4 linked regions of the Sus scrofa genome follow. The protein of the gene in region 3 interacts with the protein of the main gene of each other region in a biochemical or structural test. Links are inferred from orthologs where the notes say so. Each region holds a gene or a part of one and is shown on either strand. Other genes may lie near its edges.

The links.
Region 1: of the proteins of PTGES3 (region 3) and CASP7, one has a biochemical effect on the other in vitro, tested with the Homo sapiens proteins (2 studies listed by BioGRID and IntAct). The link is inferred for Sus scrofa from reciprocal best matches to the Homo sapiens genes PTGES3 and CASP7.
Region 2: the proteins of PTGES3 (region 3) and HSF1 form a complex in vitro, tested with the Homo sapiens proteins (2 studies listed by BioGRID). The link is inferred for Sus scrofa from reciprocal best matches to the Homo sapiens genes PTGES3 and HSF1.
Region 4: the proteins of PTGES3 (region 3) and HSP90AA1 form a complex in vitro, tested with the Homo sapiens proteins (10 studies listed by BioGRID). The link is inferred for Sus scrofa from reciprocal best matches to the Homo sapiens genes PTGES3 and HSP90AA1.

What each region holds. Positions count from the first base shown.
Region 1 is NC_010456.5:124,015,903-124,021,325, reverse strand, and holds the start of CASP7 (caspase-7), read right to left. Parts: upstream 3,457-5,423; 5' UTR 3,439-3,456; coding exon of another isoform or gene 3,433-3,438; exon of another isoform or gene 2,061-3,432; intron 1-2,060. UniProt on the Homo sapiens protein: Thiol protease involved in different programmed cell death processes, such as apoptosis, pyroptosis or granzyme-mediated programmed cell death, by proteolytically cleaving target proteins.
Region 2 is NC_010446.5:483,329-488,498, forward strand, and holds the start of HSF1 (heat shock factor protein 1), read right to left. Parts: upstream 3,138-5,170; 5' UTR 3,120-3,137; coding exon of another isoform or gene 2,975-3,119; coding exon 2,858-2,974; intron 1-2,857. Other genes in the region: ribosome biogenesis protein BOP1, read left to right, coding at 3,285-3,374, 4,367-4,522. UniProt on the Homo sapiens protein: Functions as a stress-inducible and DNA-binding transcription factor that plays a central role in the transcriptional activation of the heat shock response (HSR), leading to the expression of a large class of molecular chaperones, heat shock proteins (HSPs), that protect cells from cellular insult damage.
Region 3 is NC_010447.5:22,018,256-22,023,705, forward strand, and holds the start of PTGES3 (prostaglandin E synthase 3), read right to left. Parts: upstream 3,445-5,450; 5' UTR 3,088-3,444; coding exon 3,086-3,087; exon of another isoform or gene 2,554-3,085; intron 1-2,553. UniProt on the Homo sapiens protein: Cytosolic prostaglandin synthase that catalyzes the oxidoreduction of prostaglandin endoperoxide H2 (PGH2) to prostaglandin E2 (PGE2).
Region 4 is NW_018084979.1:916,187-919,537, forward strand, and holds the end of HSP90AA1 (heat shock protein HSP 90-alpha), read right to left. Parts: coding exon 3,290-3,351; intron 3,188-3,289; coding exon 3,040-3,187; intron 2,823-3,039; coding exon 2,554-2,822; intron 2,278-2,553; coding exon 1,944-2,277; intron 1,652-1,943; coding exon 1,542-1,651; 3' UTR 1,314-1,541; downstream 1-1,313. UniProt on the Homo sapiens protein: Molecular chaperone that promotes the maturation, structural maintenance and proper regulation of specific target proteins involved for instance in cell cycle control and signal transduction.

The sequences.
Region 1 (5,423 bases), on a different chromosome or scaffold from region 3:
GTGCACCAGGGGCTCCACAGTCCCGGCCCTGCCTCACTGGGAGATAGGCCTTGATAAATGGGTGGCACAAATGTTGAACCATAAGGACCAACAACTTGTGGCCACAGTAGGGGACCCGACTGAGCCCCAGAGGAATTAGGGAGGGTTCTCAGGGGAGCAAATGTCTGACCTGAGATCCGAGGAGGGGAAGCAGAGAAGGGGGGGTGCAAGGGAGGCACAGGGAACTGCACCCTCATTAAATATCTGATAAGCTCCATCAATGAGGGGTGCAGCATAAACCCCTCATCCTTTCCAGCCACTCAGAGGGGGCTTGGGCCTTAGCTACAGGCTGATTTCTTCTACAGCTCAGGGATAGGAGGTTCTGCAGACACCAGATCAGATGGGTTTTCTATCTGAAACCTGTCTTTCTGGGCTGATGCTGAACACTGTCTGCTGGGGAGGAGGCTGCAGCTAGAGTCCCTTCTAAGAAGTTGCCACGGTGTGTGTCCCCAGCATGACAGTGTGGGACTTTACTCTTAAATCTCTAAGGCTAATCATGCAGTGCCTTTCTTATTCCTACGAGGCTGGGCTTCATTTCTGGGTGAAATCGAGTTCACCCAGAATGAGAGTGGTGACTGAGTGGGGTGCCTCATCTTGGTCACATCGTTTCAGTCAAGCCAAGACTTTGTGATGCCCTTTTATTTCCACTCATCTCCACAGCCCAAGACAATCCAGGCCTATCTCGGTCAGCTGTGCCTGGAGAAGGCCTGCCTGGCATTATTTGCTTTTATCTGTTCCCTTCGTAAGACTCAGACTGCAAGGAGCAGGCAGTTATTCAACAGATAATTGCTTATTCAATTGTTAAACACATCTATATTCTCTTTAAATAAATTGACATATAAAACACTTAAAGCATTAGCAGTGCTGGCGCTGTTACAGGCACTCTCCGTAAGCACTCAGTGATTATGGATACTTTCACTATTATCCACTAGGGTCTTTTTGTAGGCTGAGAGCTTCTCCTAAACATCCTTTTTTTTTAGTTCCAGTCAAAGAAAAGTGCCAGGTGCACAGTAGGCACTCAACGAAAATTTCTTTATCAATGTGAAAACTGAAATATACTTAAAAACTTTAAATCTTTCACAGCCCTGAATAAATTGTTGATATGGGACAGACAACAGAACCAAAGAGATCCAGGAGGATGCTTGAGGATGCTTGAGAGCCCAGTCATGATGAACCAAAGATCTAAGGTTCGATCAGTGCCTCCATCTATTAGCCACAGACATTGAACAAACTACTCAATCTCTCTAAGCCTCAGTCTCCTCATCTGTAAAATGGGAAAACGGTGATGCCTAAGTCACATGTGACTCTGAGGATGAACAAAACGATGCATGTAAAATGCTAAACATGGTGTCTAAACCTTCAATAAATATTCCCTGTTATCACCGCTCTCCGCAGAACTCAAGACTAAGGCAACAGCCAACTGTCAACCCTCACCAGTACCTTGAAATCACATTCATGTTTTAAGCACCTTTTGTGGAAACTGAAACAGAACACTCCTCTAGCAATTATTTCCACACACAGCTTCATAGGTGACTGGTACAGGTCACCTCCCAGCCATTGTCTGAATTTCTTTGCAGCTGCTTCCCCTGGAAAATGACACAACACGACTGGTACCTCACTTGTGTCCCAGTGAAGACAATCACCCTAAAAGGCTCCAAGAGAAGAAGCCCACAGGACCTCCACCTCTCACCTCCAGCATCTGGGGAAGGAGAGGGCTCTGCTGGGCACTGAAGTACTCCACTGACAACTGATACACGACTGCTAGGAAGCTGGAGCCTTGATCCTGTATTGAAGAAACTTTGGTTTCCTCAGAGGGATTAAGTAACCTGCCCTAAACCACACAGCTAATAGAAGACAGAAGTGAATTATGAACCTAGACAGTGGCTGGCTATCCTAGATGAAAGTCTGGCTGTGGACCCTGAAGGAGGAAACAGTCTGTAAGCAAACAAACCTTAGGGCCATGCCCTTAGCCAGCCCAGGAGTTCAAGGGAGAAAGCTTGGGAATGACTCACTAGACTCACCCACAAATAATTTTACTGCCCCACAAAAGCCAAAGGTGAATACAACGGCGAAGAGCTGCAGCCTGAGAGTCCTGCCTTCTTCCACTTCCTCAAAGAATCTTCCAGCGCCCTGCACCAGGCACAGTGATGAGGGGATGACAGGAGCTTACACACCCTGACAGCACTGCTCTGCGCCCCAACCCCCTCACTCCATCCTCGCAGCAGCCGCCACCCCGGGCCCACCACTATCCCCATTACACAGACGGGCACAGAGAGGGCCAAGGCCTCACAGCAGAGAAACAGAGTGGGGGGGAGGGGGGGACTGAACCCACGGCTGCCCCACAAGGGAGCTCTCACTGTTAGCCAGCCCAGGCCCTTCCCACCCTTCCAAATCCATCCCCCCTTCTCTGCCAAATCCCGAAGAGCACCGGTGACCCAAGCCCGGCGACTAGGAGGGAAGGGAGGGACAAGCTGAGCAAGCAAGTGATGTTGGGGGCGGGCAGAGCTCTCTCCCTCAAGTTCAGTGGAGCCGTCGGGGCCGCCCAGTCCCTGGGGATCGAATCCCACCGACGGCGCTCGGGGTGGCAGGAGCGAGGGCAGCCGGACGGCCAGGGAGAACGCGGGCGAAAGGAGGGCAGGGCGGAAGCGCGGCGGCCGAAGTTACCGTTCCCACGGCGTCCAGAACTGGTGCTGTCTCAGTCCCTCCGCCCCGAGGGTCTGCGGCCGCTCCAACGAAAGCGAAAGTAAAGCCGCAACGCGGCCAGGGGAGGAGTCGCCCCGGGCAGGACGCCGACCCGGCGGGCGGGGCTGCGGGCCCCGCCTCCGACTCGGGACCCCGCGCTTCTCAGAGTCGGCCGCGCGCGGGACCACCGCGCCGCCGCGCCCCGTCGGGGAGGGCGCGCTCTCACGGTCGCGCGCGTCGTCGCGGAGGGCGCCCTCGGCAGGCAAAGCTGGTCGCGCGCACCGGACGCGTCCTGGGCAAAGTTTGCAGAGATCCACAGGGGTCCCGGAGCTGCGCGCGCAATCTCCAGGAGAAAGTTCTGCAGCGTCCACTGCGCTCCAAGTGACCTGAAGGGCGCGCTCCGCAGACCCGGCGCACGCAGCGTCCCAGTCGGGCGGACTGAAGAGTGCGCCCTGCCGACTTCGCGGCGCTTGATAATGGGGCGCTGGTCAGAGTCCACCTTCCTGCCCTCCCGCTGCCTCCGGTCTACACCGCGACTTCGGCCTCCGCACCGGCCCTGGGACCTGTTCCAAAGGCCCAACGGCTCCTCCTCAGCCAAATCCTGACCCTGATCGTCTATGCGGGGGACTGGGTGCCCGCATCTTCCTGAGTTACCGTCTCCCTAGGGCCAGCCGAGGGAGCCGCCGTGGTCTCCTGCCGCTCAGAACTTGCTTCCATTCGCTGACGCGCCTTCCTCACGCGTGGGCGGCAGGAACTAACAGTTTTCTGCAGAGCACGTCCACACCTCTTAACAGAGCCTGCTGGCCGGGACGTAGCGCCAGAATCATTCATGGACTATTTATTGAGCGCCCTCATGTGTCAGCCACTGGGTACTTGGCCATGAGTTAGTCTAAAACGGGAGAGAGTCTAATATGGTACTTTCACTCGTGCCACCTAACCCCCAGCCTTGCATCCCCAGGTCCCCCAACACCCATGCATGCTCCCACTTTTGTCTTTATTCAACCTGGGACCTCCAGCTGAGGCCTCCAAGGCCTTGCTCTCCAAGATTCCTCGGGGGAGCAGCTTATGCATGCAGTTACACTGAAGTGTAAATAGCTAAGGAGACCTGACAGTTTTATTCATACCAGAGATGTTTGCTTTGAAAGAACTATCAACGCCTTCAGTGAAAGGAACGAACCTTCTTCGTCGTGCATCATTAGGCAAGAACGCATCTCGTCTTTTTGTTTGCTGTCCCCTGGGCCTGAGACTTCAATATCGTCCATAATATCTTACCAGGTAAGGACGCTTCCTTGATTTAAGGAAGACTGGCCGCAGGCAAGTGTAAGGGAGTGATTATAATTTATTACCTTCTGCCAGAATCCTGAATTCCTGAATATTTCAAACAGGCAGTTACACTATTTCCACTATGGATGTGCTATAGGTTGTTTGGGCCACCTACCTCCCTGCCAAATTCCTATGTTGAAACTAAATCTCCAAAATGATGGCATTAGGAGGTGGGGGCCTTTGGGAGGTGCTTAAATCAGGAAGGTGGAGCCCTGGTGAGTGGGATTAGTGCCTTGATAAAAGAGGCCAGGCTGAGCATCCTGGCCTTTTCTATCATGTGAGGACATAGAAATTGCAGTCGGCTACCCCAACGTGGGCTCTGACTAGAACCCAACCATGCTGGCACCCTGATCTTAGCCTTCTGGCCTCCAGAACTGTGAAGAATACGTTTCTGGTGTTTATAAGCTATTCAGTTTCTGTCTTTTGTTATAGCAGCCAGAACAGACTAAGACAGGCTGCGCTACTCTTTTCTTTAACAGCCATGTTTCTGAAATGTCAAGGCGAGCCAAGTCATGGTAGACACAGAGTTAATTTTCTTTTTGAAGGAATTCAGTGGTGAATCATTTGAGAAATGGAATAAAAAGCCTATTAGTAGGGCAAATAGGTTACCCTATGATTTATCGCATTTATGAATTCAAGTTTTGCAGGTTATTCGTGAAATAAGATGAAACACGGTGTTAGATATGGGAGCCACCTTCACAACTAATCCCTCTGCTGGTATTATAGATACAGAATCTGAGGCTCAGAGAGGTTGTCCACACTACAGGCATGCTAGTGGCAGAACCAGGATCAGGTTGCCTAGAAAAATAATGTATTTTCCATCCACAAGAAAGGTCTACCATAGATTATATGAAGCAATTTTGTTTACATGTGTCACACACAGGAATTCGTTGCTGGCTCAGATAGGAAGATGATTTTAAGGAAAACTTTCTTTTTTTATTTTTTACTTTAATGATTTTTATTTTTTTCCATTATAGCTGGTTTACAGTGTTCTGTCAATTTTCTACTGTACAGCAAGGTGACCCAGTCACACATACATGTATACATTCTTTTTTCTCACATTATCATGCTGCGTCATAAAGAAAACTTTCTTTTTTCAGTTCTGTAGTGTAGTTCTCTTATTGCTCCGAGGCTGAATTATCACAGTACCAACAACTAAAATCATAGATACATGAAAGGGAAGAAACAATTTTGAACTTTTCCCTCTATAATAATTGTACTAACCCTTTAGATCCAAATGATATTCTATTCTAATTGTATTTCCTGTGTTTCTCCAGCCTCGGTCCATGTCATTGTTTTATGCCTCCTTTCCAAACTTTAGAGCTTGTGTCTTCCTCTTCACTCCAGAAAAATCCCCATCTCCATTGTTCAGATGATTT
Region 2 (5,170 bases), on a different chromosome or scaffold from region 3:
TGGGTCCGGCGGAGCCAGGCGAGCTGTGTGCATCCACCCTCCCTCCAAGGCGGCCGTGCCCAGACCGCCAGCCCCTCTGACGGCGCCCCTCGCACCCCAGCACCCAGGCGGCGGAGGAAACAGACTGGGAGGCCACGCACAGAGCCTGTCCTTCATGGATCTCTGCCCGTCTCGTCCGTCTGTCTGTCTGTCCGTCCACGCATACATCTGTCTGTCTGTGCGGGAGGTGAAAGGCGGACTCTCGTGTAAAAATCCAAAATACAACTCTACAAACCCCCGGGCGCTGGTCAGCCACGTGCGGCCGGGCCCGGCTAAGACCGCGGGGTGGGGGGGTGGAGCCCGAGCTGGACCCCACGCCCGACTGGAGACTCGACACTCGGCGCGGTCAGAGCGCGGTCGGTGGGGCAGGCGGGCAAAGGGCCTGTGCACTTCAGGGTCTTCCTCGCGTTTCCTGTCACCTCCGAGGCTCAGGTTTCGCGTCTGTAAAAAGGCCACCTTCACCTTCGTGCAGGGCAATGGGAGGCGCGACAGGCTCCGTGTGGAAAAGGTTTGGCTGCGGCAGGCAGAGGCCTGCTCGGCGGCCACGCACGCTCATCAGGTGCAGGGACCCCGGGAACCTCCAGGCTCTGCAGTGGCCCTCGAAGCCAGCACGGGGGCAACTGCGGGCTCCTGCACGGAGGACCAGCTCAGCAGGCTGGTGGGGCCCGCCTGGCTCCGGGCAGGGGAGAGGGCGGCCCTGCCTGTCCTGGGGTCTCTGGAAATGGTCCTTTGCCAGCTTGGAGTGGCCAGGGGTTTCACAGGGAGCTGGGGACCTGACCACGGAGACCGTGCTCCACCTGGACACTAGCCCCTCTCAAGCGATCCCTGAGTGTGGCACTCACTTGGGCCACCTGGGCTGGTGGCCTTGGCAAGGTCCGGTTCCTGGGAGAAAGAGGCCCTCAGTCTTGGCCAGAAGGGTCTGACTCCCATTATGTCCCAGGGGGCGTGGTGGTAGCACTCCCAAGGCCACACTCCCGGTCACCAAGTCCCCTCCCGCGGGAGCCCTTGCCTATTCAGCCGTGGCGCCGCACGGGGCGCATCTGACGGGACAAGGCTTTGGAAGGGCGGGCAAACCAACACGTGCCTCTGGAGCAGCGACCCGCTGGCCGGCCCCAGCTCCCAGGGCTGGCACCCGCCCGTGGTCATGCATCACGCAGACCACAGAGTCGACCACTGCACCTCCTCCTCCCCCTCATTCCCTGGGCCACAGGCAGAGGTTTTCTCCTGGTGGAACAATGAGCAAAGTTCCAGCACAAAGGGGAAGGGCCAAGGGCACAGGCGTCAGACCTGTCCGGGGCCTCCGACAGCAGGACTCCAGGCTGCGAGTCGGCAAAGGGCTCCAAGCGGACTTTGAGACAGAGGCCCGGGGGTCCTGTGGGCACCCTGCCGGCCCCAGGCAGGGGCTGGTCTCCTTTCTCAGGGCCAGCCCCACTGCGTCCTGCACCAAGCACACCCTACTCGCTCTGTGTACAGACTAAGGAGGATCAAAAGCTCTTGCTCCATGGCCGCTTGTCCCCAGGGAGACCATGCCTGGGGGCGCAGCCACCTTGAGTAGAGACCATCACGGGCTGGACCATGTCCGCTTTCCTGCTCCAGGCTTTGCCTGGAATACAGGCCGTGAGGCCTGGGGAGCAAGCTGACGCTGGCTGTGCTTCGCCTGGCCTGGAGCAGACTGAGAGGCGGGATGTCCCCACAGTAGGTTCATCCCAAAGGACCTCTGGTGCCCTCCCCCAAACGGGAGTTACGGGGAAGGGACAAGAAGAGGGAGAAGGGAAAAAGACAGAAAAATGGGGTCATTTCATTTGGCCGGCAAAGTTCAAGGCCTGGAACAAGGGGTGGTTCCCACCGTTAAAGAAACAGGGCCTGGGATGGAGAACGCCACATGGATATTTGCTGGGACAACACACAGTGTCCCCAAGGGAATGCAGCACGGTTTCTGGTCTCCTCAAAGGGACAAGTGGAACGAGAGAACGTGGCCTCCAGCTCTGGGCTCCTTTCAGCCCAGACTGCTCTTCCTTTCCAAGGGCTCAGCAGGATGACAGGCAACAACTCAGTGGGGTCCAAGAAATCCAGCGTTTGGGCGCTCAGGAGAGTAAGCACGTTTGGAGGCGCCCGGAGCCTGCCTACGACTACGGTGGCCTAGGCCACCCCCCTGCCAGCCGCGAGCCGTGGCTCCGACCTGCCCCACCTCGACGTCACAGCCAGGACGTCCATCTCCAAGTCCAACCTCCGCAAACTGGAGTTGTCCAGCCTGCGGAGTCAGACCATGTAAATCACCTGCCCGCTGCCAGGCAACGGGAGACAGGGCGTGAATAAAGTCGCGCACAGAGCAAGAAACACGAGTCGCTCTTGGGAAAGCAGCTCTGGGATCTGGACCCGGGCTCGAGACCAGCCTGAACTTTATGACGTTGTGCTTTCTGTTTTCGCTCCCTCTCCTTTCGAACTAGAGAAACGCCCTCCAGTTCCAGGGCCGAGACTTGATTTACCCTGAATAACTGCCCACCACACCACTGGAACTCTGGGGCCACCGGGGCCCAGCGTCCACTAGCGAAGCCGGGGGCTGTTCTAAGCACAGACGCGTCCCGCAGTCGTCCCACAGGCAGCAAGCGCAAGCCCACGGAGGCAGAAGCCCTTCCTACCCAACGCGGGAGAGCGGCGTGGACAGGAGCGACCTCCAGCGGGCCTGCGACGCTTCTCCCCGCACTACCCCCTGCTCCCCACCCCCACACCGGGCCTGCGAGGCGGGGTCCGGGCCTGCCCGTCCTGGGCCCCCGCGCCGCGGCCTCCCCGCCCCGGGCCGGCGCCCTCGGCCCCTCACCGGGCTCCAGCAGATAAGCGCGTCCGTGTCCGGGTCGCTCACGAGAGTCCAGAGCTTGGTCAGGAAGGCCGGGACGTTGCTGGGCCCCGCCGCGCCCGGGCCCACGGGCAGATCCATACCGGGCAAGGTGGGAGAGGCGGAGGCGGGACCGCGAGGAGGGGCTGAGGGCCGGGCTAGCGCCGCTGCCGCGCCTGCCGCCCGGGCCGCGCGCCGCCGCCCGCTGCGCACACACGGCCCCGGGGCCTGGCATGGCCGCCGCCATCTTGCGACGGGCGCGCTCCCGCCGGCGCCGCCCGCGTCCCACGGCGCGCGCACGCACACCGGCCCCCGTCCCGCCCGGCGCCCTCTGACCCCGCGGGCCCGCCCCCAGGCCCACGCGGTCGCGTCGCTGCCGGAAGTGGCGGCGCAGGGCAGACCGGCGGGCGGCATGGCGGGACCTCAGGGCGCGCGGCGCGTGGCGGTGGCCGGGACGCGGCCCGGGAAGCGGATGCTGGAGCCGGGGCGGGAGCCGGAGGAGGTGACGCGGGAGCGGGAGCGGGAGCGGGGGGGGGCGGCGGGGCTGGGCCGCGGCACCGGCCGGGGAGCGATCCCGCCCAGCGCCCGGCGGGCCTGGGAATGCGAGGAGGGAGGGGTCTCCTGTCCTCCGCCCCGGCGGCCTTGCGGGGGCGTCCTGGGCAGGGAGCTGGCTGGCGGTTGTGTGGGTCGGAAGAAGGTCTGGGCCGGAGAGAATAAGGAAGGAGAGCCGGCGTCCTGCGCAGCGGTCTTCCTGGGCCTTTGAATTGTCATCTGGGCGCAGAAGATTTGAGCCTGCAGTAGCTGCTTGTATAGCCAAATGTTCCTGACACGTTAGACGTTGTAGAAGAGGAAACGAGGATGAGAAAGCAGCGCCTGCTGCACTGGACGGCCCGTTTTAGCTGGACTCATGCTCTTCCTGTCCAGCGGAACCCCAGCCGCGCTGTGGGGGTGTCATCAAATCTCATCAAATCTCGGTGGTAGAAAGCCATAGCAGGCTTGTGCAGTCGAGCCTCGCAGCTGGGACTCCACGTTGCTGGTTTATCAGGCTGCCCCTTCACTTGTGACAAGTGCTCGTGGTGCTCCCTGGCCGGCAGGCAGCTCTGGGCACCATGCTCACCCACTTGTAGTGCTTTTGCCTCTGTATTCATCAGCGGCTGTTTGTGTTTGTGCCCAAAACATTTGTGCCATTTTTACTTGCCGTTGTAATTGTGTAGCTAGTTAGGCACGATAGAGTGTGTGCTGAGTGCTGTTTGGTAGCTGCTCCGTGCAGGCTGTCCAGTTTGGCGAGAGACTCAGGAACTATTGAAAAACAATGAAATCTAGAATTTTGCCTTCCAATGAATGCTTGCTAAGAGTCTGCAGGTTCTTGTTCCACCGTGCACCCTGTCTGGTGGAGTTAGGGCCGGGGTGGTGTCTGGTGGGCAGAAGTCTGCTCAGAAGCAGCTCTGGTCCTGCGCCACACAGAGCTGGTCACCGACAGTGTGCTCCTTGCAGCCCTCTCTCCCCGGCGCCCCGGCTCCCAGCCTGTCTGACAGCGAGGAGAGTGTGTTCTCAGGCCTGGAAGATTCTGGCAGTGACAGCAGTGAGGAGGAGGACGGGGCCAGCGGCGAGGAGCAGCACAGCAGGATGGAGAAGGCCACGGGGCAGCAGGTGGGTGAGCGAGCAGTGTTCTGGTGTGCTCGTCCTCGCTCTCCGGGCGGGTGGCCGGGAGAGTGCCTGCCAGCTCGCGGGCTCTGCTTTCTCTTTCCTCTGGTGCGGGGGGGGGGGGTTCTGAGCCCTAGGGCACCAGTTTTCAACCGCAGTAGGAACCCGGAAAATCTCCATGGCTGTGAGCCACCCACCGTGATTCTGATGTCACCCTTCCCGGGCTGAGTCTTTGCTAGACTTAGCTGGAGGCTGGGTTTCCTAGGGGGCAAAGCCTGAGGTGGAGATCTGCGTGCTGGGGGCCGCCTGGGGCAGCTGGGGGCGCTCTGGTCCCCACCCCCCAACCCCGAGGCTTTGTAATCTGTCGCTGTGACGCTGGGGAAGGCTCATCCCACTCTTGTTTTAAGTGAGAAACGCGAGAGAAAAGCTTGATTTAACTCAAGTGTGATGTCTGTCGTTTGGGACACCCAGGAAAAAGTTTATACCTCCTTATGCTCCCCACAGCCCTGGTGTTCTAGAATTTAGGACTGGGATGGAAACCCAAAAACATGCTTGTTTGCTCTGGTTCTTAGGAAGAAAAGATTTAAAGTCAGATTTAGGTCCTCTCCCCATTCAGGCTTTAACTGTCACGCTGGTGCACGGAAGATGACCCAA
Region 3 (5,450 bases):
TGACCCAGCCACACATCCATGTATACATGTTCATTTCTCACATTATCACGCTCTATCATAAGTGACTAGCTACATTTCCCAATGCTATACAGCAAGATCTCATTGCTTATCCATTCCAAAGGCAATAGTTTGCATCTATTAACCCCAAATTCCCAGTCTATCCCAATCCCTCCCCCTTGGCAACCACAAGTTTGTTCTCCCTGTCCATGATTTTCTTTTCTGTGGACAGGTTCGTTTATGCTATATATTAGATTCCAGATATAAGTGATATTATATGGTATTTGACTTTCTCTTTCTGACTTACTTCACTTAGTAAAGCAAAGTAAGATTTTAACCAATGCCAGCGATGCTGTTTGTCTCTGACCATTCGTTACTTTAAGTACAAGATACCAAAAAGAATGACCTCAAATAGCTCATAACCATTTTATCTTACATCTCGTGTTATTAGATAAATAGGTCCAACCTAAAATTAGAGTTAAAATAACTAAAAAAAAAAAAAAAAAGAAAGGAGATAAAGTAGCACCCCCTGCAGGGGATTTGAGCTGGTCTTAAAAGGAGCAGTCCTAAAATCCCAGCCTTCTCCAGTTGAGAGAGCTTTTATGCAAACTATTGGACAAAACTTAAAAACTTGATTAAAAGAAATCTACCTAGAAAATCATGACTGAAGAGCAATCACATGATAAAAAAATACACTCTAAAACCTTCAAGATGTCCAGCATAAAAGTCTCTCCAGGAGTTCCCAGCCTTGCCCAGGAGAAACGAATCCGACTAGGAACCATGAGGTTGCAGATTCGATCCCTGGCCTCACTCAGTGGGTTAAGGACATGGCATTGCCATGAGCTGTGTGGTGTAGGCAGCAGACCAGGCTCAGGCCTGGCATTTGCTATGGCTGTGGCGTAGGCCAGCATCTGTAACTGATTCAACCCCTAGCCTGGTAACCTCCAGATGCCACAGGTGCAGCCTTAAAAAGCAAAAAGTCTCTCCACAGCTAAAAAAAAAGTTTATAGAACCCAACAAAATGAATCTTCATCAGCCAGATTCTCTCTAGAGCTGGATGACCCATTAGAAGTCTTTTCCGGAGTCCCCGCTGTAGCTCAGTGGTTAACGAACCCGAGACTAGGAACCATGAGGTTGCGGGTTCAATCCCTGGCCTTGCTCAGTGGGTTAAGGATCCAGCGTTGCTGTGAGCTGTGGTGTAGGGTGCAGACGCAGCTCAGATCCCGAGTTGCTGTGGCCCTGATGTAGGCTGGCAGCTACAGCTCTAATTAGGCCCCTAGCCTGTGAACCTCTATATGCTTGGGGTGCGGCCCTAGAAAAGACAACAACAAAAATAAAAGTCTTCTCCAGCTCAAGTAACTGACTGGTAATATTCATCTTGTAAATTCATTCAGTCATTAATTAATAAGATCCCCTAAAGAATTTGCAAGATGTCATATATTGACTAAACAGAGTAAAATTTACCTGGTCTCTTCAAAACACTCATTTTCAAAATAGCATTCTTCTAATTATAGATTGCTTTTTGGAATACTGATTGTTAGACTTTTCATTGAGTTCTTTATATAACTTAACATTTCTTACCTATTTACCAATTCTACATGATCTCTGAAAAGTGTTTCTACTTCAAACCGTATTAAACATGTTATCTCTTCATATAAAGATATTTCTTGTTCCGCTACATTAGTTTACTAAAAGTTGGTAATGCTTTATCTCCAGATTCATTTTCTCACAAATGACAATCCTGCTACATTATTTGGAATAGAAATTTCAAAAAGAAAAGTACAAGTTCTTTTACACAGATTAAAGTCTTCTATTACATACCACTTCTTGGGATGGGGGAAATCCTTCCAAAATTCTAACATGTCATTTTACAGTAATACATGCATTCTTCTCAAACCTTCTTCTCCATCAATTGGCTACAGTGTATCCTTATTCATTTAGACATCTAATTCAATATACTCACCACAAATATCACCATTTTACTAGGTAAACCCTTGAAAATCCATTACTTTTTATAGAAATAAAAATTCTTCCCCTCAATTGATCTCCATAGGTAACTTTCAGGAGTACGTGGTACCAAAAAACTGTAAAATAGGCAGTTCTCACATCTGAAAAGGTAAGGCTTTTCCTGAAAAGAATGTAAAGCTGGGAATGGCAATGCAAGAGACCGCACTCGGTTAAAATGTTTTCCTTTATCATAAAACTAAGACTTTTAAAAGATCTGAAATTACCCCCACGTAAACAAACTTAAGGCAACAAAAAGGCAATTACCTACCTGTTTCATCCTTAAATTAAAATAGGATAACGAAACCTCACCTAAAGTTTCACAGAAAATATCCCTAAGTATCTTTCAACTCTAACAAGTGCAGAACTCCCTGCTCAATTGTAAAGCCTCGCTACCAGGGAAACGGCTGAGTTTTGGCAACCTCCACTCCCTTCGCGAGACTGAGTTAAGAAGAAGCCTGGAAACACCCATACTCTGGCAATCACGACACCGAGAGGGAAGTAAGTTGCGGCGACAGCATGGCCTCCCTCCCTCCAGTTGCCTAGCAGTACCTGTCGCTCGCAGTGGAGGGCCGCGTGGTGCCTTACGAAGAGCACCAGCAGCTGTGGGGTAGGACCCACCGCAGGTGCACTTGTCCCCGGGCCTGGTCCCAGCATCACACAGCGGCAGAAGCAGACCTAGGTCGCTAGGAGCGGAGTGGCAGCCCACGAGGGTCCACGCCTCCGAGGCGCCCGCGTGGCCAAAAGCTCACAGGAGATTAAGGCCTAAGGCTAAGTTACGAAGAGTTGGGAGCAGCCCTCACTGCCGAAGGGGGAAAGTGGGGTTTCCGGCACGGGGAAGCAAAGGGAAGGTTTAGAGATGGGGGAAGCGGACATCTGGAGGAAAAATGTCCTCCACCCGCCAACGGTAACCGGAACAAGGATACTGGACCTCCCACCCCCAAGCAAGAACGAATGCTACCGAGGGGGAAAAAGCCGAGGGAGCCGAAAGCGGGGGAGGGGAAGGGATGGCTTCCCGGCACCCCCCCGCGCGGCCTCGGCCTCCCTCCAGGGCGACCTTCCCTGGGTGGCGTGTCGCACTCACATCGTGAACGGGGCAAGGGGACGGGCGAACGGGTGGGCGGGCCTCTCCGGCGGCAGCTGGTAGGCAGTCGACTCCTCTCCGGTGGCGACTCTGGCGTCCTCTCCCCGATTGCGGCCTCTTTTCGCTTTTCCCTCAAGCGACGGCGGCGGCGCGGCGGGCTAGACCTGGGTTCCCAGAATGCACCGCGCGGGCAGAGCGACTCCTCCGGTCGGGGAGAAAAGGAAAGTGTAGGAAAAGGGGCGCGAGAACGGAGAATGAACGTGCGTGCGTGCGAGCGAGGGGTGGTGAGGCCGGGCGGCGGCTGGTGACGCAGCAAAATGCCCGGGCCCAGCCGCCGCGCGTGCGCACTCTTTGTTTTCGGGCTCCTGCGCGGCTTTCTAGAGATATCTACGGAAAGGGCGGGGCTTCCCAGCTCCTTCGCGATCCTTCCCGGGGCTGGCCCCGCCCCACGTCGGCTGCCTCCGGCTCGACTGGTTCCCGCCGCTTTGCCCGCTCCCCCCTCCTCGCGGTGGAAACCGTTGGTCGCCTAACCGCCCTGCCACGCGCCTTGGGCGATCTCCCCGAGAAACTGTCGCGTTAACCGAGGGAGGAAGGCCGAGGCGGATGGACGCAGAGTCTGGAGGCTTGAAAAGTGAAATAGGGGATCGGTTACTTGAGGGAGTACATCGGCTCACTGAGAAAACAGTCTACGGCAAAAAGATGGGCAAAGCCTCCGCTGGTGATATTTGAGGGAAAGGGCTAACCTGAGTCACAGGCCTGGGTCCTCCTCGCCGTCTTTCTGAGGGGTGGAGAACCTGTCCAGGGGCCGCGGAAATTCGAGGTCTTTGGCTGACCGGCATTCGCACCTGCTTTGATGCGAGAGGAAAGTTATTAAATGAGTCTAAGTTTGCGGGAATGGAGAGACCAGGACACTTGGAGTCTCCAGGCTGATCCTGTAGGGGAGGGGGGAAACCTCATCTTTTTTCAGCTGTTACCTGGTTAGGTGCTAATGGGTGTTACTAACCAAGAGAATCAAAATGGTAACTTGTCCACTCTAGAAATCGCTTAGCCGGGAAGTAAGGGAGAAATACATCAATACGCTGCTTGTTAGGACACAGAGGAGGTTTAAGGAAAGTGCCGTAAGACATTTTGGAGAGTGTTTGGAAGCTTCATATGCAGCATTAATTAGTGTCTATGCTATGCAAGGCAGGTGTTGGGAACTACAGACATTGGACCCTAGGCTCCAATCCTGTTAAAGAAAGTTAAACCCCAGCTCTCAAATACTGTGATTCTGGAGTTCCATTGTGGCTCAGCAATAACAAACTGGATTATCCATGAGGATGCGGGTTCGATCCTTAGCCTCAGTGGGTTAAGGGTGGGGAGCTGCCATCAGCTGTGGTGTAGGTTGCAGATTGCGGCTCAGATCTGGCCTTGCTGTGGCTGTGGGTAGGCCAGCAACTACAGCTCTGATTTGACCCCTAGCCTGGCAGCTTCCATATACTGCCCACGTAGCCCTTTAAAAAAAAAAAAAAAAAAAATACTGTCATTCTAAGGAGCCTACTGCTTATTTCGGAAAACAAAATACATCAAGATGTTTGAGTCTGGAGTTCCTTTCCTGGCTCAGCAGAAACGAACTGGATTAGGATCCATGTGGATGCGAGTTTGATCCTTGACCTTGCTCAGTGGGTTAAGGATCCAGCTTTGCGGTCAGCTGGGGTGTAGGTTGCAGACAAGGCTCAGACCCCAAGTTGCAGTGGTGTGGTGAAGGCCAGCAGCTACAACTCCAATTCCACTGGTAGCCTCTTTTTAGGGCTGCTCCCGCGGCATATGGAGGTTCCCAGACTAGAGGTTGAAATCTGAGCTGCAGCTGCCCGGCCTACAGCACAGCCATAGTAACGCCAGATCCTTAACCCACTGAGTGAGGCCAGGGATAGAACCTGCTTCCTCATGGATACTAGACAGGTTCGTTTCTGCTGAGCCACTATGGGAACTCTGATTTTCTTTTTCAACCCTTTAAAAATGTAAAAATCATTCTTGAAGGCCATGCAAAGATTAGTGGTTGCAGAAAGTTTACCAATCTCTGACCTAGGTAATCCAGAGTGTAGAGGGAAGGTAGGTCATAAATAATGGTGGCACTAATTATCAGGCTAATTGTTTTTGACTTATTTCTATGACAGTGGGAAGCTATTGAAGTTTTTTTGAATGGGAGTAACATTTGTGTTCTAAAAAGATTAATTTGGCAACAACATAAGATGAACTGAAAATGGAACTGAATTGAAGATAGGCATTTAAAAGTCTGCAACCTGAAAAAACTGGCAATTTCCCCTATCAAGTGCTGTGAGAAAAACTGCCTTTCACACAAGAAATTTCTGAAAATTCAAATCCA
Region 4 (3,351 bases), on a different chromosome or scaffold from region 3:
GCATCCATGTCTCTGCGGTCCAAGCCTCGGGCATAGGGGCGCCTGGGGGACGGTCAGTTCCCAGCGCAGCACTGAATAGGGACGTGTGCATCTGCCCTGAAGGCTTTCCAGCACCTTAGGAAGGAGGGCTCAGGTGCAAGAGCTTCCATTCTGAGGCTCTCCACTGAGTCCCTCAAACGCACCTCTTGATCGTGAAGGACATGGGAAAACAGAAAACTTCCCTTTGGCCGTCTTGCCATCCAATTCCTACTTCCATTAAACCTCACTTCCACAGCAGACACAACTGGCCGCAGACACCGCAATACCCTCCTTCAACGAAGGATTAACTGTGATTACCATTCACTTACCAAGCACTAACTAGGCCCACTGAGCACTAAGTGACAGGCCTCTCACACCACGAACCCCAGTCCGCTCCCTCCCCCCGTTAATCACTGTCACTTCTCACATGGAGCCTTAAGCTCAGGATCCAAATCCTAAGAAGGAAGGGCACGGATGGTGTCAGATGGGACGGTCTTTAAGCCTCGTAAAGGGCTTTCGGCTGCTCCAACGGCCAGGGCAGTGAGAGCTGTGTTTAGAGCATCAGCTGTCTCTACAAACACCTCCAGACAGTGCAGACGGGAGACTCCCAAGGGAGAGCGGGGCTTAGAAAACACATGGGAAGGCCACCTTGCTGGAGTCCCCCTTCTCTCCCGGATTCGGGCCCACCCCCTGCCACCTGTATGTGCCCCGGGAGTCACACCGCTGAGACCGAGGGCGGCCAGCGTGAACCATCTTCTGCCCAGCCTCCCCCACGCAGGCAGGGCGTGTGCCGCCCCAGGTCTGATATCGCGGGACCACCCTGGATCTTCCACCCGCCTGGCCCCCCGACAAGACATGTTCACACCGTGTCTGTTTAATTCATCTGTATTTGTTTCAACTCCGGAAGCAGAATGCGACTTCGGCGCTACATCTCCACTCACGACGCTTGCAGAGTTACTTCTCAAACAGCTTTACCACATGCCTAGGTGGGCTTTTGACTTCGGGTCCCTAAACATTACATTTCTTTGGAAACAAGCCCTAAGGATAGCTACTCCCATCAACGGGGTTCATCCTAACTCCTAGAGGACTGATACATGCAGTCAACAGCTACAGGGGATGGGAGGTTTCAAAGGTAGAGCCCAAATCTACTCGTTGCTTGAACAAGTATTTTTCTCCTAAACATCAAGATATACTCCACAACACTTCAGTGACAAAAGGTGGTCAACTAAGGAATCCGCTTGAGAGCTGAACACAGACCAAGAAGTTAACATCAGGGTACACACACCTCACAGCACGAGGGCCGTCTGTTAAAGAAGCCAACTGGAACTAGGAAAGGACAAGCTCGGCTTTAGTGCTCAAATGTCACAGTGTCACACTTAGTACAAAGGAATCTTATTTTCCCTTAAGGAACTGTCATGCCATACAACCTTTAAATGTTAACAAAAATAAAATACTTGAAAATATATCGTCAGAGGGAATGCAGACAGCGTTTTAACAGGGGACAAGCAAGCCTCAGGCGGAGCCTAATCGACTTCCTCCATGCGGGACGTGTCGTCGTCCCCTTCCAGGGGTGGCATCTCCTCCGTCACAGCAGCGCTGCTGTCGTCGGCGGTGGGGTCGTCCTCATCAATACCTTTTTGGAGATAAAACCCGTGTTTTAGATCTCTTGAGGCCAGCTCATCAGCCTAATACTGCAGGTTTGTGGCTGAGCCGTCACAGCATCTATGAACCTGTTTTTTATTCCTTAGAAATGAAAAACCCATCTATCTACCCCCTTAAACTCTGAGGACTTCAGCGCTTCCTCCCCCAAATGAACTGGAATAGCCCAATTTCACTCAAATTGCTGGCAGCCCCCCCTTTCCAGTCGCCGGGTTCCTTCCCTGACGGTGTTGCGCACGGCACCTGCAGAACGGCGGGCGGCTTACCAAGACCAAGTTTGATCATCCTGTAGATCCTGTTGGCGTGCGTCTGGGGATCTTCCAGGCTGAAGCCAGAAGACAGCAGAGCGGTTTCGTACAGCAGGATGACCAGATCCTTCACGGACTTGTCGTTCTTGTCCGCCTCTGCCTTTTGCCTCAGGGTCTCGATGATGGAATGGTCTGGATTTATCTCCAGGTGCTTCTTTGCTGCCATGTAACCCATTGTCGAGTTGTCTCTCAGGGCTTGAGCCTTCATGATTCTCTCCATGTTTGCTGTCCAGCCGTATGTGCTTGTGACAATGCAGCACGGTGAGGTCACCAACCGGTTCGACACAACCACCTGTGAACGAGACATTAAGTGGTAACTGGGCCTCGAAAAAGCTTACCTAACTCCTCAGAACCTGTCATCAGCTTTAACAGGAAAAATTTTAACTCAACTACTATTGAATTAACAGTTGAATCAAAATTAAACACAGATGCTCACAGCTTTCTTCCTAGAGCTTCTGCACTTTTCAGATCTTTAAAAGCTACTTGTGACCTCCTGAACAGACAACTAACCCCTCCTGAGGAAGGCCCACAACTAGGAGATCTAAGTGGGAAACGTATGGTCACACACCTTTTCGACTTTCTTCTCCAAGATGTCCTTCATGATCTTGCAGAGGTTTTCAAACTTTGTCTTCTTCTCCTCCTGTTTCTTCTTCTCCTCTTCATCTTCCGGGAGCTCCAGGCCCTCTTTGGTGACTGACACTAAGGTCTTCCCCTCAAACTCCTTCAGCTGCTGCACACAGTACTCATCGATGGGCTCGATCATGTAGATCACCTCCAGGCCGTGCTTCCGCAGACGTTCCACGAAGGCCGAGTTGGCCACCTGGTCCTTGGTCTCACCTGAGATGTTCGAAAGTTTAAGACTGTTCACAGGAGGTGGCTGCATCTCCTGTCTTTCCCTACATAATCAGATCTTTCTTTCTACAGATGAAGATTAGCTCTCACTGCCTAAATCAACACCTAACTCACACGCAGCACCATGTGGGTAGAGAACTCCCAGCTGTTCCTATGGAATCCCAGAGCAAGAGGCATGACGATTACACCCATCTCGCCTTACCTGTGATGTAATAGATGTGTTTCTGGTTCTCCTTCATTCTGGTGCAATAGTCCTTGAGGGAAACCATCTCGTCGCCAGAAGCAGAAGTGTAGTACCTCAACAGCTCGGAAAGCTTCTTCCGATTTTGAGAATCTTCATGTATTCCAAGCTGAAACAAACAATGGTAGCTTCAACAAAACTTGGCCTTAAAAACAAATTCATTGAAAAGGAGAAGTAGTTTGGTTACAGCTGTTGTCACACGATTACCTACCTTAATATTTTTAGAGAACTGCTCATAGAACTTCTTGTAATTCTCTTTATCTTCGGCCAATT